3 linked regions of the Drosophila melanogaster genome follow. The gene in region 2 interacts genetically with the main gene of each other region. Each region holds a gene or a part of one and is shown on either strand. Other genes may lie near its edges. The genes, in order: mdy, Hnf4 and Pex19.

The links.
Region 1: of Hnf4 (region 2) and mdy, changing one suppresses a phenotype caused by changing the other (phenotypic suppression), as found in Drosophila melanogaster (one study listed by BioGRID).
Region 3: of Hnf4 (region 2) and Pex19, changing one suppresses a phenotype caused by changing the other (phenotypic suppression), as found in Drosophila melanogaster (one study listed by BioGRID).

The regions. Positions count from the first base shown.
Region 1 is NT_033779.5:16,814,733-16,820,187, forward strand, and holds the start of mdy (midway), read left to right. Parts: upstream 1-1,927; 5' UTR 1,928-2,307; intron 2,308-2,375; exon of another isoform or gene 2,376-2,727; intron 2,728-5,379; 5' UTR 5,380-5,390; coding exon 5,391-5,455. Other genes in the region: CG13272 (uncharacterized protein), read left to right, coding at 1-1,061.
Region 2 is NT_033779.5:8,686,753-8,693,728, forward strand, and holds Hnf4 (hepatocyte nuclear factor 4), read right to left. Parts: upstream 4,458-6,976; 5' UTR 4,443-4,457; coding exon 4,262-4,442; intron 3,501-4,261; coding exon 3,062-3,500; intron 2,874-3,061; coding exon 2,377-2,873; intron 2,307-2,376; coding exon 2,169-2,306; intron 2,106-2,168; coding exon 1,869-2,105; intron 1,797-1,868; coding exon 1,137-1,796; intron 1,073-1,136; coding exon 1,026-1,072; 3' UTR 501-1,025; downstream 1-500. Other genes in the region: Trs23 (TRAPP subunit 23), read left to right, coding at 1-282. UniProt on the Drosophila melanogaster protein: Transcriptionally controlled transcription factor. Important for the differentiation of various specialized cell types that arise from both endoderm and mesoderm. May have a role in early gut formation.
Region 3 is NT_033779.5:12,089,640-12,096,154, reverse strand, and holds Pex19 (peroxin 19), read right to left. Parts: upstream 4,334-6,515; 5' UTR 4,029-4,333; exon of another isoform or gene 3,797-4,028; intron 2,468-3,796; 5' UTR 2,294-2,467; coding exon 2,245-2,293; intron 2,162-2,244; coding exon 2,044-2,161; intron 1,978-2,043; coding exon 1,674-1,977; intron 1,608-1,673; coding exon 1,444-1,607; intron 1,387-1,443; coding exon 1,143-1,386; 3' UTR 920-1,142; downstream 1-919. Other genes in the region: CG6712 (uncharacterized protein), read left to right, coding at 1-919.

The sequences.
Region 1 (5,455 bases), 8.1 Mb from region 2:
CTCCCAGTGAACCCACCACAGACTCTCTTTTCTCGCACTACAAGCAACCACCGAAACCGCTACTAGGACCCATGTACCTCATCATCGAGGGTCATTCGAAAGTGAAGACCTACGGTCAAAATGAATTGGATCCACATAGTCCGAAGATAGTGCCGGTTATCTCCAAGAGGGAACCAGTAGTTAGGATAGCCGATCCTAATGAGAAGAGGGGAACTGTGGAGTCCTATCAGGTAAAACATTTGCACACCAAAACAACACCAATGACAACGACAACCACGACTAATAAGCCCACTACCATGAAACCTACGACGACAAGGGCGCCTGAAAAAACTCCTATATATAGCACCACCACTAAGGCTCCAGTAGTAAGCACTAGCACTACAACCGTTGCCACCGCTACGAAAACCACAACTTCAACAACCACTAAAGTGCCCATAATCAGCACCACCCCTTTAATTCCACCACAACCCACTCCAGAAAAGCCAAGCGGTGTAAACGATCTGCTTAGTCTACTGGACAATATGTTTGCCGATGCCCAAAAGATGGGCTCATCCACTGATTTACCTTTGGTAGCAAGTTCTACTACCAGCACTGTGCTGAGGCCAGTTAGCACCAAGTTGTTGCCGCAGCAACCGGAACCTAGGATATCCAGTAAAGGGGCGGGCATAGAGAGTCTCCTTAAAGATGACACCCATGAAGATGACGAAGCTGGCGAAGGTCTGGGGTCAACGATTTCCACTGAAACACCACCTCGGGCAACACGTCAGGTATTTGACTATGATCAATTGCCTGAGTCACGGATTAAAGACGGGGTCACCACCAGTGATGATATTATGGAATACAATGATGAAGATGAGGAGGAGGGCATTGAGGATGATAATGAAACGGTTACTGAAAATGATGAGGATGAGGAGGAGGAGGAGGAGGCTGAAGAGCCAAACAATTTACTCAAACGAATCGATCAATTTGTGGATGATGTGGATGATGGGGAAGACGACTTGGAGGATCTTATCGAGGGTCTGGAGGAGGACGAGATCGACGAGAGGCGACAGCAGCATTAGCCCAAAACAAGCATTTTTCTTGAACTGCGCTCTATACCAAATCTATCAGAAACTTTTTCTCACGCCTAATACGTTCTTGTACATAAGTCAGCTTTAATTGAATCTGTATTTATTTGTTGTTAGTTGTTAGGCCCTGCTGGCGTCACAATGTGACTGCGTTCTATACCCAATGTAATTCGAGCAAAGAGTTTTCGTTGTGTAATTAAGCATTAAATTATTGAAATTTTTCTACGTTTTTTAGTTGTTAAGTGTGAAAATAAAAAAAAAACCAAAACGAAATACGATATACGATATACGAAAATAAAATACAATAGAGCCATCTATTGGGGAGATCAGTCGATTGCGCCACCTTGTGCGCGACAAGCGGGACCTGCACTAGAGAGTCTTTGTCTTTCTACACAAATATTAAAAAAGGGGTAAGTTAAAATACTGATGGATAATCCAAACATATTATCTCATTGAAAAGTATGTCTATACCCTTAATGCTCACTGGAAATAATTATACATTAATGAATAACACAGTCGTTTTTCTTTTCTATGAATAATAATAATTTTGCGTTTCAAATGTACCGCCAAATTTCCTTCCAGTAAATATCGATCGTTCACTGTTCGATACCGATAGCCAAAGTTTATCAGACAGTGCTGACATGTTAGCGGAAAATATGTAAGCAAAATTCAAATTGTTTCTGAGTATTCATTAATACAATATTATTACTTATTACTGTCTTTAGGATGAAAACTATTGACGATTGTAGCTCTTACTGTTTTATCATGAAAAAATCGTGAAAAAATCATTTTCCCGCTCAACTCCGGACATCACTGATGTCGAGCCTATTGCTTTGTTTATTTCCAGTTGTATTTTCCAAGCGTCAGTTGAGAACTCGTCGTTGAAGCGTGCGGTTTACGGTAAAAAGAGGCCGCTTCCAGTACGTGAAAATAAGTCTGCTCTTGTTGAAAGAAACAACAAAAACTTGCCAATTGGATTAAATTGTGTGCAAGGTGTGCTAAACTGAGTAGACAAATAATATATTATTAACTAGGTACAAACAATACAAGGCACACAAAGTTCCCAGAGTTCAAGTAAAAAATTAAACGATCAGTGTGATATTTTTTTGTGTGTTTGTTTACGCTTCTTCGGCGATCTTCGTTCTCTGTCTAACTCTCGCTTTTGTTTGAAGTTTTCGATGGCGGAGTAATGAACTTGAGCGAATAAGAAGAAGATCTGCAAGTGCAGTTGTTCCAATCGGTAATGTGTTTCTGGCACCCACTGAAAAGAAAACAAAAACAACAAGTGGCAAACACGTGCAGTGTGATTTGGTGACTCAAAGCCCATTAAAGCGGCTAAATTTTATGAGAACAGCAGCTAAGCAGATAAAAAACAAGATATACCTAACAACAAATCGTATATAGACGAATACGGAGGCTTTATTTTTGCATACCATATAGCCATCATAAATTAGTGAAACTATCTCCGCCTTCCCTTGAATTGAATGAGCGTTGATAATGTCTATATAACTAAATGTGTGAATGCGTGTGCATATATTTGACCAATGGCTGTATAACCTTGATCCGGGCATTGCGTCGCAAACTAAAAAAAAAAAAACAAAAAAAAAAACATTTCCGAAATGTGGCGGCGTCGTCTCCATCAAACAGAAAAAGCCAAACAGTAAAAACCAAACAAACTTCTATGCCAAAAAACCGGTTTATGCTGAAAACCCAAACAGAGAGCACTTCTGACCGGAGATAAAATGACCCAGCAAAAGAGAGAGCTTGTGTCTGGTTGGGAAAACAAATTCCATTCCACTTAGAAATTATCAGTGGCACGGCAAATGTCAGAATCCGGCTGATAAGAGCATTGTTGTTTCATTCTGATTAGAGGAAGCCGGCGAAATTTTTGTGTATTTTTCCTCTCGATAATTTGTAGGCTACAGTGAAGCTTGTCATGGTTAACTTCACATTACATTAAACTTAACATGGTGTCTTTAAAAATGCGGTTTATGTTTGAAATCAATTATAAATATTTCATTCTCCAAAGTTAGATTGATTCCAGCAAAAACGCCTCATAGAATTTCGACTCTAGCTGGTATGCATCCGTTTTACATGGTAAGGGGCAAGAAAATTGTGATTAGGGTGGCCCAGCCAGACATGTCTACCCTGGCAACATGATAACGTGGGTATTATGCAATCTCCGAGTTTATGAACCGCAGCTTGAGCAGCTTGATAACCTTTATCAATCGATGTTCCATTGGGCGGCGTTCGCCACTCAAGTTGATGAATCTACTTGAGTTACTGACCTACTTTTATCATCGCTATGGAAAGTTCTTCCTTATAAAGCCGCAACCGGTTCCGACAGTAATTATCCGTCCTACATGGACAACTAAAATGTTTGGAATATTTTCACCATTTTAAGTTCGCCCTAGGGCAGAGCACAAAATAAAGATCAACAGTGCTCAATAAATAGACGAAACTTTTCCAAGATCCATTATCATTCTGCTGCAGTTACCGCTGTACCGCCCCCACCTTCGATTGTTTAAATATAAACCGAAAGTTCAACAAACTAATCGTCAAACCGCAGAGAGCATTCAATTCAGGTTCGGTTTCCACATGCGGGTTGTATATGTGTGTTCTTACATATCTATTCAAACAGCAGAGGTCACAATTGTAGCGCATTTATAAATATATAACTCAAATGAAGCTAGACGTTGAAATATACATTTTTAATAAGAACCCACAATGAGTCGACTTTGCTTTCTTCTTTTACCTTGCACTTCAAAATATCTCTACAGTTCTATCCTGATTAACTTATTTGCACGGATTTATAATATGTATATTAATGGGTGCATATAATGCAATCTCTCTTTGAATGCTTCATGTACATCTCGGACTGCCTCGGTCCTCGATGCCTGTAAATTACTCATCATTCGGTTGATGGGCCATAACGAGCTCCGACTTGAAGTTCTGAATGACGTTGCGTCACGGTGACTCGACTGAAATCGTACTGAACTCCCCATGAACGAACATATGAGATTGGAGTATATGTCTTTGTTGCACTTGGATCAGTTCAACGCACTGAATAATTATGTAAAACTTTGTGTTTTCCGCCAGTGGAATACTAAATACACGCTGCGAGACAAAAATTGCTAAAATTCTTCATCTGTCCTTTTTTCAAAACCATAAATTATTTCAATCCTGAACTCGAATCGTATACATTACAACTTTCAAAAGCCATTACTGAAAAGGTTGGCATCCACGATCACTTAAATTGATTTTTCGGTTCATTAGCGATAAGCAGCGATAGTGATCGAACTTTGATGTCAAATAAACAAGGTATCAACAAACTACTCGCATAAAACAATTAGGTAAAAATGGTTGCCTTCGTAACATGACGTAGATTTTGTTACCTAAGATATCTTTTCAACAGATAACACACACAAATTTCGTCATTAATTTTAGTTGCATACATATATGTAGGTATTTCACTGATTTATAAATATTAAATAATTGCTGAGACAACAATTTCCTAATCGTATCTTGCTACTCGTTGTTTAACAAAAACAAGTTACGTGAACGCAAATCTATAACTTGAATCGCATTTGTATTCAAAAATAGAATCTGCACATATCAACCGTTTATTTGTTGATGATTCTTGAGTTCTATACAATTTTCATTGCAAAAGGTGGATGTGGATTTGAAACTTTGAGGCTTAACGGCGATAATGCCCTCCCATTTGGTTGACATGCGATCTTGACTGTGGGAGCTAATGTCAAGTACGATCGTAGCAGCTTTACAACTGGTTTTAAACGATTTAAGTGAGAAGCTGTTGGCTTAACCACATTATCAAATGCGGGCTCAATGTCTATGCAAATCGGTATCTGATTACTCAATCAGCAATCTCTCAGTCAGCTGAACTTTGACCTCAAGCCGCATTTTGCTTCTGGTTTTGTATGGATCTATTTATTCTCTAACATACATATAGCTCTGTTTACTAATAAACTAATATATGACCAGCTTCAGCAAGTAATAAAACGATTTTCATAAATAAAAAACAAGATATGTGCTTAAGACATCTTATTACTTAATTACCCTCATTATTTCTTATCTCAGTTGCGTATTTATTCAATAGATAAGCGACTCTGAAAATGCCTCCACTGTTTACAACCTCCTGGGATCCCATCTGAGTTATTTGTGTGTCAAAATAAAAGCACTCAAACATTTTATAAGGGGTACCAAAACAAATCTTATCTTTGCATTTCAACTGCAAACGGAATTTGCGATAAGCTAGAAGTAATCACTATAAATTGAAATTCTTTCAATATAGAGACCATCACCATGACCACCAATAAGGATCCCCAAGATAAGGAGCCCGGGAAAGCAGAACAACCGACCAAGAATAG
Region 2 (6,976 bases):
CCGGAGCCCAAGAGTTCCGGCATCGAGATCCTAGAGGCGGACACTTTCACGCTGCACTGCTTCCAAACGCTGACCGGAATCAAGTTCATTATAATCTCGGAAACGGGTCTCAATGGCATTGATCTGCTGCTGCGAAAGGTTTACGAGCTGTACTCAGACTACGTGCTCAAGAACCCCTTCTACTCCCTGGAGATGCCCATTCGATGCGAGCTCTTCGACAACAAGCTCCAAGAGCTCCTCGCCCAGGTCGAGAAGACGGGCATTAGCAATATCGATAAATAAACGTTAGTTAGTCTTTGTAATACGTTATTGAATTTTTTCTATGCAGGATCAGGGTTACGTTCTAAGTGGGAGCATAGGAACATATATCGCTTTATCAGTTTGGATATTTAAAGTTGTTGCTGAAAGAGATGGCATAAATTATAAATTATAGTAATATTTATTACTAGTAAAAATGCCGCAGTAAACGATTTACATTCATATTCTCCAGTGTTTATTTTGATTTTGTTTATTCATTCAGCCATCTTAGAAATAGTTTGTATATTATACATATTCATATAAAAATAGTTCTTTGTTTAAAATTAAATATATATTACACTTTCAGCATAATCTAGACAACACCCTAACCTAAAACAATATATTGCATGGCCTTATATGAATGTTTTGTGATCCACGCACAAGTATAAGATAACCAAATAACCAACAAACTCAGTACATGCTAAATGGTGTATATATATAGTATAATTGTATATAATAAACTTCTTGAGCAAAATATGACTCCAAAAATATATTGCAACTGCGTTAAACATTAAAAATTAAGCAACAATTTCCAAAATACCTACTTAGGACTAATAAAAAGTATCAAAATGGTTCAAGGCATAACAATTAAGTAAGTTCTTCATTTCAATTTCATCTCTATATAGCACTTGGTGGGGAGTACAGCAAGAGAGGGCCTGTATGTGTATGGGTTGTGTGCTTAAGGGGTGTCCTATTGCAAACTGCATATTGCACCGTTCGTTATTCTTCTAGTAACCAGTCTCTGGCTCCTGTTTAAGTGTCATGCGACAGGGTTCTGAAATAGTATATAAAATATATTATTGAAATGTCTTCTTGCTTCGAATCAATCTACTACGCACCCGTTCCATAACCAGCGGGTGCGGTTAGCATCTCGGGAGCCCGGATCTTCAGTGGAGTTCGTCGCAGCAGCTCCTCGGCACTGCTACCCTCGCTCCGGTTGTACTCGTTGAGCGTAATATCGGCAGGATTGCGCAGACCCAATCCGCCGCCCCCGCTGGACACTTCGACCGGCGAGGCGACTGCTCTTTGGTAGGGATGCATCCTCTGGGGACTGTGCTGTGTTGGCAGCGGTCCGGACCGACTGCCATTGTAGTGCTTGACGGGCATGTCCAAGTAGGAGCTCTCCTGTTGTTGCTGATGCGTCGCATGTTGCTGATGTTGATGTTGTGACTTGGGGCTGTTGAGCGGAGGAGAGATCGAGGCTGGAGCAACGGATGCGGGTGCAGAGGAGGAGGACGAGACGGCTGCAGCGGCTGCCGCTGCAGTGCTGGCCGCGTAGGCCCGGAAGGAATCATCCGCACTGTTCGCCTCGATAAGAGCCTGAATGTGCTGCACCTCCAGGTCCAGACTATGCGAGCCAGGACCACCGGACGTGGCCAGCGAGTCCAGAGAGGAGTTAACTTGATTACCGCCCTCCATGTTGCCTGTGTGGGTGGGACTCTGGTAGTCATTTGACTGATTGGGCGGCGATAGCGGCAGAGGATTGTCGGCCAACTCTCCTATTAACACACACACAAAAATTAAATTAATAAATTGTTCCAAACGTATATTTGCAACATTTAAATACTGACCTCCCAACAACATTTCCTGCAGTAATGAATCAATGTGGGCCACTCCAAAGATCTTGGCAAACTGGATCTGCTCGATCATCTGCCAGGTAATAGACTGCAGAACCGGCAGGATGAGCAGAATCTCGCCAAAGCGACCGCGCGACTCGTATTGCCGATCTGATATGTAGTCCTCGAGATTATTGAGTATCTGATGCCGTAGCGATTTGATGCGATGCGGTTCATTAAGACCCTTGGCATCTAAAGTTATTTGAAGAACCAATTATTAAACGGTCACTTTTGTAAATAAGTTAAATAACTCACTGGGATCGAAGAAGACTAGGGCCTTGATGCAAGCGAATTCAGTGTCATCGATACCCACATCCTTCATGACCGTCACCAGTTCATCGATGATACGGGCGCCGATCCGGGAGATGTCCAAATTCGGCGACACAAGGGGATCTGGAAAAAGAATGATTGCAAAGGTTATACCAATTTCACTTATAGGTTTTGATAGTATCAAAAACATTACCTGGACAGTGCCTTGTGATCACACAATTGTTGCTCAGCAGGAGAACATCCTTCAAGTGCATCGAACGACGAGACAGGCCGAGGAGCAAATGCTCGCCAGCATGGGCGCGTAGCAGTGCCACCTGGTCATCCAGCTGCAGCTCGTTAAAGGCCGGAATCTGCTTAGCCCATTCCACCAGGGTCAGCAGCTGCTGCTTCATCGACTCGCAGACATCGTTGATGCTCGCGAACTGCTTGTTGGAGAGGTCCTCGTTAATGTTTGGCTCCATGGCAGCGCCTGCCTTCGACTGACGCGACTCATTCTCCGCCTTAACCAAGGAAATCACAGACAGCCCATTGCCCGGATCCGGGTCGTCATTGGAGGTGCGGCGGCAGCTAATGCGATCCCGCTCGTTTTGCACCGCCTCCTTCTTCATGCCCGCCTTGAAGCACTTCCTCAGCCGGCAGTAGCGGCACTGATTCCGTTTGTCCTTGTCCACAACGCAGTTTCGCGCAAATCTGCCAAGAGAAGTTTAAGTTGAGTAACGAATGCGTATAGATAGTCGTAAACTTAGAATTTTCCGCCAGGTCCCGACACGTCCCACCAGGGTTATCGTTATGAATTATACAAATTATTTCTGACTGGAAATTTGGCATTGGGAAAATCTTAATCTCCCTACTAGTCCCGTATAAGGACATATGTGTACCTGCAAGTGTACTGATGATTTTTCCTGACACTCCTCCTGAAGAATCCTTTGCAGCCGTCGCAGCTGGAGGCTCCATAATGTTTGCCCGTCGCCCGATCTCCACAAATGGCGCAGACCGTCGGTGATTGCTGTTGTTGTTGCTGCTGCAATTGCTGCTGACTGCTGTTAGTCCCACTTCCGCTTCCGCTCAAGTTGTTGTTGGGTGAGAACATGCTGTTGTTGTTGTTGCTGCCACTGCTGGCACTTCCGCCTCCTGCGCTGCCCGCATTTCCGTTTCCGTTGCAGAGCGCAAAGTTCTCGCTGCTCTGGTTGCTACTGTTGCTCAGTCCCAGCCCACCGCCATTGGGGCTGAGGGCGAGGCCGATCGGACTGTGGGGCTGCGAGGCAGCCGGATAGGCAGAGGCCAGGGCATCCGCGTGCATTATGTGGCTCTCCGATTCTGCAACGAAAAGCAGGTAAAAGTGTTATTCATAAGATGAGTTGTATGAACAAAATCTTCATTAGAAAAACGTACATATATTCCTGACACAGTCTTAAATGTTACGAGGGCGGCCTTAAACTTTAATATATGTACAGTAAATAAGTGAGCAATATAAACTGTTGAAATACTTCTTAAAGTCATAACCCCACCAGCCCAGTCGAACTAGTTCTACTTCTTTAAAATGGAAAATATTCTAATCTTCAAATGTAAATCGCTTTGTTGTAAAAAGTGTTCCGTCATGGTGAGATCCACAGTTTTGAAGCTGCGGGTGCTGGGCGCACGCACAGTTTTAGAATTTGATCATGCCTACGCAAATTCCTCGCTAAGGTTTTGCAGCAACTGGATATGCCATTTTAAATCCACGGACAATCTTTGCAATCAAAGAGCAATTAAAAACATACACAGTCCGAAATTTCTGCACAGAGTCTAATAGAGAAATAATTTTCTTTATCATATATAATATGAAGTCGATACTAAATAATGTGTATGTGTTCCTTTAAGACTACTATTTTTTCATAAAAAGGTATATATGTACCAATAAAAATTATTTACTGGTATTTTTGTTAGTTTTTCTTTTATTTCGATCGCAGCTGTATAACGTACGATACACAGTGGTCATAGAGTTGGGATTGTGTGAAAACCAGCGAAAAATCGCGCAATAGCAACAAACAGAAACTGCACAAATAACAACAATATTAAAAATAAAAGCAACAACTGACCGTCACTGGATGCAGTTCGGCTGGCGCTGCTGTCGCGCCTGCGTCGACGTCGCCCCGCCTCTGCCTCCTCTGCCGCTGCAACTGCCACCCGCCCACCGCCCACTTTGCCACGCAGCAGAATGTTGCCAACGGCAACGCGATCGCGACTAGAAATCTTAACTCTACCGGACTTGCGCACCATTTTAATGCAACTGATTAATGAAAAAACACACGACTCGAAATTTTTCAGTCGCGGTATCGTATGTTGTTTCTTGGCACCTCTCCTGCTCTCTCTGCGCCACCGCACAGTGGTCTGATTTCAGAAAATTCTACGTTAATAAATATTACTCTCTTTCTATGAAAACAAATAAAAGCTGTTTAATAATGTTCCATAATGCTTTATGTAAGCTTTTTGACATGGATATGAAAATAATATTATTACAAAAAAATACTTTTTAATAAACGAATAAATAATGAATTTCCCCTCTAAATCTTATTAACATTTCTGTTTTGGAAGTTTTATATTCTAACATAGTTGGTTAGGTATTCTGAAGTGCGATCATATCAATATATCACCACGTCACCACGCGTTCTGAAGTTTCTAAATTTAGTTTTAAAAAGCTCGAATTCCCACCGTGCGTTTTGAGTGTGTGCGTTAATCGACGCTTAAATCAATTCAACTGTGTTTGCATATGTCGACCCCTCTCTTTCTTTCCCGCAGAGAGGGAGCGAGACCCCAAAACCAGACTTGGGGCTCTCACCAACACAGAGGCACGCAGCCGCAGAGATAGAAATTCATTTAATGGACAGAAGCAGAAGCAAGAGCAAAAGCAACAACAACAACATCAACGACAACGACATCGGCCAAACGAATAAACAAATAAATAAATAAAATGTGTACAAAAAAGCCGGCTTTAATTTGGACATCGTTATGAGAGACTGTTTGCGTGTGTGAGAAAATCATTTGGGGAGACGGAGAAAGAGAGAAAATAGAAATACTAGTAAAGCGGAAAATAGGCATCGACGGAAAATAGTAGTTACTTTTAATAAACAACAATAAAAGTGCTCGTACAGTCGATTTTAAGGAATACTTGTTTTTGAAAATTGAATAGAATGGAATTATTTAAAATAATTATTTAAAAAAATATTCTTTCAATTACCATTTTAATAGGTGTATAAATACTGTTATTATCTCGAAGCGTTCGCAGTGGGTGGTTCCCACAGATTTTCCACTATTTGCCTTATTAGTTTTCATATGCAGGGAATTCTCTAAAAGGTAATTGATTGGCAAACATTTACAATTTGAATAGACTTTTCATGATTGCACTCCAAACAGCAAATTGTTCACTTTGTTTACAGATTCTCAGACAGTTAATCACGGTACACCGACAATTCCGATATTATACACCTGAAACATATCCTCACCGCTTGAAAATCCAACTCGAAATAAGAGCAGTTGCTCGACCAAGAGAAGTTTAAGTAAAAAATACAACTGCCAAAAGTTCTTATCTCTCTGTTTATGGGTGTGCATTTGTTGTTTTCTTACACTTAATGTTGTTGTTCTACCAGTTGGAGAGGAAAAAGCAAACATACACTGAAACAGCAACGAATAAAAAAGGTAAATAAGAAACCATAATACTCGTTTGCTAACATTTCGCGCATAAAACTGTCTCGCCCCACACTCGCCATCTCTCTCGCCCACCGCAGCCGTTTCGCTCGCACACTCCGCGGGAGGGGGAAACAGGCTGCGGTGTAATTTTTATATTTTTAGCCAAGTCATCGTTAGAGTTCACTTTTTTTCCGACCGCGTCATCGTTAGTATTGCAAAAAAATTTTGATGCCTCACACTGAGGTGGGCAAATCGTAATCTGAGATTAGAAAATATCGGATTCTTGATTCGGAAAATAGTATTATTTGGATGATGCGCTGATAAAATGAAAGAGCCGAAAACAGCAATCAATAACATACATATGTACATACATACAGGGATTTCACGTTTCTCGTGAAAACAAACAAATGTGAACACCTGACCATCATATAAAAGCAAAGCAGAACTTTTATCTATAAATACTCATATGTGTTCTCTAAAAATTTATTTAATTAATATGCCGAACGCAATACTCGTAACAGGCAGACGACGAGCCTCCAAAAAGTATAAATAAATGGATCTGGAGAGCGGTTCCAAAATAAGAGAATCAATTATTCGCGCCACGATGATAATTTTCGTATTGACCGATACATCGGTGCTGTAGCGATCTCTCCTTCTCTCACCATTGTGTTTTACTTATTTATGTTTTTATTTATTTATTCTTAAAATAATAGGAATGTCTGCTTAAATATATGACTATTGGAAAATTTATTTTTTTAAGTTGGATTTTTGACCACAATGTTTCGCAGGCATGTGTGAGTTATATATGTACATCATATATATTCATATTCATATGATTCGTCTGCCAAACACAAGTTCGGTGGGAACTTTGCTCGAACTACGCAAAACTTGTATTTATTTTTGGACACCATGTTGTTGTTTACCAAGCATATATTAGAAATATATTAGGTTCTTTTTGAAAAATTTCTTTATATAAGCTTGAGCGATGGAAGTGAAAATATATTTGGAATACCACTTATAAAAAACGCTTGTTTGTTAATTGAATTTAATTTATCTTTTTTTTTAAACAATGCATTGACAGACGTGTTCACGTTTATTTCCGGAGGCCTTTGTATGAATTGCATTGC
Region 3 (6,515 bases), 3.4 Mb from region 2:
CAAGAAGACACGAATTCCTGTTTTGAATCCCCTCAGCTGGATGCGCAACAAGGAGCAGCGTTTGGCGTTGTACAAAAAAATGAAGAAGGAGAAGCACAAGAAAAAAATGCAGGAGCGCCGTGCCCGACGGAAGGCTGGTGTACCCGCCAATCCTGGTCACACCATAGAGAGCCTGCGAGAGAAGGACCAAACAGAGGTGGCCAATCTGAACGATTCCGACAACGAGGAGTTGCAAAAGGAACTCCAACTGGACGATTTCAGCTCGTACTTCGAACGTTCGTACGAGCCAAAGGTGCTGATCACTTTTGCTGACAATCCGGTGACCAAGACGCGTAAGTTTGGACTGGAGCTTTCGCGCATATTCCCCAACGCCCTGGTTAAGATTCGCAACAAGTCGTCGGTGAAGAAGATATGCAAAAGCGCCGAGCGCGAGGAGTTCACAGACGTCGTGATCGTTAACGAAGATCGCAGAAAGCCCAATGGGCTGCTGGTCATTCATCTGCCCAATGGTCCCACTGCCCACTTCAAGCTGTCCAACGTGAAGCTCACCTCGGACATAAAGCGCGATCACAAGGAGATAACCAAGCACAGGCCCGAAGTGATCCTGAACAATTTTACCACACGTTTGGGTCTGACCGTGGGCCGCATGCTGGGTGCCCTCTTCCATCACGATCCCGAGTTCCGCGGCCGCCGAGCGGTGACGTTCCACAATCAGCGAGATTACATATTCTTCCGTCACCACCGCTACGAGTTCACCAAAGAGGGAAAACGCGTAAAGCTGCGCGAACTGGGGCCGCGGTTCACCCTGAAACTACGTTCCCTGCAGGAGGGCACATTCGACAGCAAGACCGGTGACTATGCCTGGATAATCAGCAACAAACGGCACGCCATGGAGTCGCGACGTCGCTTCTTCCTCTAGGTGTATTTCGAGGCATTGTATTTAGGTATAGAACTACTTAATAAACCAACAGTTAATACGAAAATAATAGCTTGATTGAAGAGAGAGGTGATAACCATTAGCGACCGCCGTATTGTTTTGTCGGTGATAAAATAAAATACAAATTTGCCTTAGCCTAAAAAATGTGCAACACTCAACAGTTAACCAATTGGCACACCACGAGACTATCGTGCTCCGTCAGCCACTACATGGTTGGGCACTGGGGACCGGGACCGCCGGCTGCTACGCCGGCAGTGGGATCGCCGAAGGGCAAGTCGCCGCCCGTCTCGGCCAGAATCTCTGGCGGCGGCTGGCCGTAGTCTTGCAGTTTGCGCATGTCGTCCAGCACGACGCGGAACTTCTCTCGCTTCACGGCGGCCGAATCCTCGGTCTTCTCGCTCTGTAAATGCCCCTCAATCACCTTGTACAGCTCCATCTGCTTCTGGTACCTGTATGTATTGGTTTCTCAATAAAAGTATCTTATTGCGAGTTGATTTCGAGCATACCTTTCCTTGTCCTCAGCGGAGAGCTTGGCGTCGTTCTCCTCGAGGTACTTGGGGTACTTCTCCAGCAGCTCCCGGATGCTGGGCAACAGAATCTCCGCCGAGAGCAGGCTCTGCATCATGCCCTCCATGAATGGTAGGAACATGTTTCCATCACCCTCGCCAGCCTGTCAAACGGGGATTGTTTAATGATTGAGCAAGGAGAATTCATATTTCATTTTCAGGATGCATACCCCTTCAAGATTCAGTGAACCAAACATGCTGGCTATGTCGTTCTCCGAGGCGGGAGCAGCCAGGTTCTCGGAGCCCTCTTGCAGACCCTTGAGAGCCTGGGAAATGCTATCAGAATACTTGGAGACATCCTCGTCGGTGGCCGAATTTTCGCCGCTCAAGGTGAGCGCTGCCGCTTCGGCCATCTTTTTGAAACCGGCCATGATCTGGTCGGGATCCTGGGGCAGCGGCGGAATATCGCCACTGGGCGTGTCCGGACCTCCGAAGAGCGTGTTCATGCGATCGGCCAGCACCTTGGCCTGCTCACTGAAGGCGGATAACAGGTCAGAATACAAAGTTCAAGTGCCGCGTTGCACTGGCGCATTGACTCACATGAAAAACGCATCTGGATCCTCGGAGCCCTCAGGTCCAGCGTTGGTCGCCACATCCGATGATGCGGACGGCTCCTTTTGGTCACCGGCACCACTTTTATCGAAATCCTGGAGAGCACCTGTGCGAAAAGTGGACGACGCAGTGCGCATTATGTAAGGGGTCGAGAAGGGATCGCCAAAGGCATTTCCGGGCTGTACTCACTGTCCAGCAAGTCGTTTAATTCATCGCCATTCTTCTTTTCTTCGGACATTGTGCAATTTCGGGATGCTTTTCCTTGATTTCGTGGTGGGTGGGAAATGGTAAAAAATAAAGACTGACTGAATCAATCAGTGGGACCGTTCATCTGCTGCTGGTGCATACCGCAGTCAGCTGAACAGGTGTGGCTACACTGACTCACATCTTAGTGCGACCGCATTCGTAACGGCTTTTTAAAAGGATGCGAAATGATAAGAAAAAAATTTAAAAATTAACTTTTCTATATAATTGTTGGTTTTAATTTTAAGATTTCAGTTTCGGTTAGGGCTTAGACAAAATTCATATTACTTAAACAACTTTTAAATGCATTTAATGTTTTTTTTAAGAAAAATAGCTATATTTTGTTTAATTTTTAGTAAATATATTCCTTAAATTAAGAATTCTTATTTGTTACTATTATATAAAGTTCAAAACAAGTTCAGAATACCTATTTCGAAATAATCTGGAATGCATTATTATTGTGGACTACACATAAGTGTGAAAATGTCTAGCCATTTAATTCATATAACATATATTTATTGTCAATGAAAATTTCGAGTTTTGATTTAGAAAATTATATGTCTTACAACAACAAGTCATCAGTACACCCATCTACAATATAATAGTGTACATATTTAAATCTAGGCCTACATCAGACTAATAAACTTAAATTCGAAGCACCTCAATATCCCTCCTGTCTTGAGAGACAAACCAAGGACATTAGTCGAAGATTATCTAAAATAATCACCCAAAATATTTACGCATCTTCTGCGAAACTCTCAGCCAATCTCCCCGGGAATGGCACCTCGCTGTGCGCGGACGGAGATCGGCGACCAAACTGCGACCAGAGCCCAAACCGCACATACTGAGTGGTGAGGGAGGGGTCGCAAAACCATCAAGGTCACGGCGCGACGCTGATGCGCGACCAATTCCGAAACCAGAACGTCACACCCATGGACGGGACACATGGATTTTGCAGTAGGGCGTCCAGCTCTAGGTCCACTCCCGCCCGAAGGTCACCGCTGCGGAGGAACCCCGCTTGGTTTCCTCAATTCCGCTCATATGGTCAAATGGCTGGGCTGGGATGGGCTGTGCTCTTTGCGACTTTAACCGCACGGTTTACCAGAAGAGCAAAACGAATCTTCGATTCGGTACGCCCACGCAGCGAAGTATTGTGGTAAATTTGTGTTTTTTCCTCTATTTCCACTATTGGGGCGGAGTTTTCTTCGGTCAGTCGGTTCTCTGAAAATGTCAGCATGGGCGGAGCTTCGACTGAAATAATGCATAATTTGGTGTTTTATTTTGCGGCTTAGGGTGGAACAAACCGCCTGAAACTCTTACATTTCCTACAGAAACAGGGTAATTTGACTTTTTATGGGCTGTAATCCATTTACAGAATATGCATACATATAACATCAAAAATTTCCCTAAAAACCATAACTCTCTTTTTAGGGAAAAATTTCATTCTCTATTCGCTGCGAACATCAGAGTATATAGTTCAACTTCAAATTTCTTAGAACCCAAGCAGTTCAGTTCAAAAAGTCAAGACAACCGTCAAAAAGTCAAAACAAAAGTCGAAAACGTAAAAACCCCTTCGTTGGCCAAAACAATGGTTTTTGGGTCACACTCACACCCGATCCCAATAAACCAAGAAACTCGCTCTTTTTTGACATAATTTTTAAGGCACCAACAGGCGCGTCATAAAGTTGTTTATTCCGATATAATCGGTTTGCTAGACTAGCTGAATTTACCTGAATCTCCAGCTCTATTTCCCCAGAAGAGGAAGGATTCCAACCGTCATAAAATGCCCATCAGCGTCTTCACAAGCATCTACACTTCCCTTCCTTTTTGCAGGAACTTTGCCAGGATACGATCCTGTACATCCTTTTCATATGCTGACTGCGATTTCACGCTCGCTGATCGCATCGCTATTTTTTTCAACATTTCCGCATCCTTCCAGCGAAAGATGCTCGATTTTACGATGCACTGAACAGGATATAATGGATTTCGCGATTGTTCGGTAATGACGATGATTGCGACTTTATAGACACATTATTTATATTGTGGCTGGTGTCGTGTGGCTATGGTAATAAAGTGTAAATAATAAGTATATATAAAGGAGTAAATAAATTAAGACACTAAATATATGTAATATATATGTAATATAAAAGGAATAAAAGTTCTTTAAAATAAAAAAATTATACTAATTAAATTAAACTCTGATTCTAGAAATCTGAATGTTACATTACATTCAAAATAACTTGTAGCTTTAGTACACCTTGTATTAATCATTCAAGTATCACAAAATATAAGATATTTATATATGTTTCGACATATTTTTGTGTCTGGCCAGGATGGCATTATCTTTTGATATTTTGGCCATGGTAATTGCGATTACAAGGCTCCCAGTCATTCCTGGAAAACGCTCACTTTTCCTTTGAAATCCTGCCCCGAAAAGAAGAACTGGAGAAGTCAACTGCTGGCAGCTTCCCGAAAGACAAGACACCCACATCCACCATCCAACATACAACATCCACCATCAACCATTGCGCAATGGGGCGAGCTCTTCATGCTCCGACACCCATCGCTCTCCATCAAAGTGGCCATGCAAATGAGCCCTTGCGTCTGCCATACGTTTTCCTCTAGAGGATTGGGTCGAAGGGTAGCCGACTCCAGATGATGTGGGTTGCTCTGTCTGTGCCCCCCCAGTCGCTGTTCTGTTTGATTAAGCGGAAATTAAGTGTGCGTTTCGGTTGCAGCCTCCCAATTCGCCATGCCCTGCTTTTTTTTTATCGTGAACTGCAGCACATATATGTTTTATGTTTCCCAATCGATTTGGTGGCTCAAGAGCTGCTTTTGGCTTCCTCAGGTCAAATAGTTTTTATTACAGTGGTTAGGAATTACTCCCAATTAAGTTTCATAGAAATTATAGATTGCTAAAACATAAAACCACTTCTAAGTAGGACATCATGAGAAACTTTTTAAGCTCTTCGCATAAAACTGAAGATTCTTTCCCACTAATGTATAAATAATCACGGTCTCTGCAGTCAATTTTTCCATTGGCAATGCATTTTTTTTAATAGAAAACGCCGACCGTAGCCAGTGATTAATGAAACAATTGAATGATTTTATTTAAATTCGCATATATCCGATGCAAACCGTGGCTAATGGACAAACGCCGCCGAAGAGAAGATCCAACATCTCCAAATCGAGATTCCATAGAAACACTCGGGATGTGAGAAAAACGCCACCTACTTTGTGGACTCTACGCCGAGAAAACTAATGATGTTCTTTCGCCATCCATCGAGTTTGTCCATTATAGTAGAGTATATGATCGATCCGCGATCGAACCTGATCGACTACCACAAAGCAGGGCAATTACAAATCGGGGAACTGGACAACAGGTTGCCGGCTGAGTTGGGAAATATGGATGTGGATGTGGCTCTGTGACTCTGGATGGAGATGGAACCCGGCCGGAAAACAAATTAATCTTGTTGACGTCGCAGCCTCGTCACTTTCTTCGCCAGGTCGAGGGCCCAGGTGTTTGATCTCGACCTGATGCTCCGATGCTACGATCTTCTGTTGGACAACGATGGGTTGCGCCTACATTTGCGCCTTCTGTTTAATGATCAATTTGTTGGCCTCCGTCGCCGTCTCTCAGATGTGTGCCGACAGCGTTTAGCAGTCGATTGGGCTCGGGATTGGTTTGTTTGTGCCCCGAGTTGCCGGGTTTGTTGTGCCCCAGGCTAATGAGTTTCTCGAAAGTGGGTGTATGTGGCAGGGGCTCCCCTTTTTGCCCCTGGGACACTTCCTACATGATCGGCGAAAATTCAGCCAGACTCTGTGACGTCCCAATACACAGGAAGATAATCCCTTTCAACTAACTAACTATTTATTATTTAATTTATAGCTTCTTCATTCTTATACATTTAGGTACTGAAAAATATATATTCTTAAGCAATAATTATACAGAATATGAATATTTCTTTGCATGAACAACATTTGCTAAGTATTTTCGCTGAGTGCATGACGAATGTCATGTGGTTGGAGTGCCAAAACCAAACGTTTGTGGGCAGAGGCGCGAAGTTTCCACCAATTGCGATCGAAGGTATATATGCTATGAGAGATGCTAATTTAAGGACAATGGAGTTCCGGGGAAGCCAGCTCGCGACCCACAAACAACTAATGCCTTCAATTAGCCCGGCTAAACTGCTACCAAGAGCAAGGGTTAATCGCCC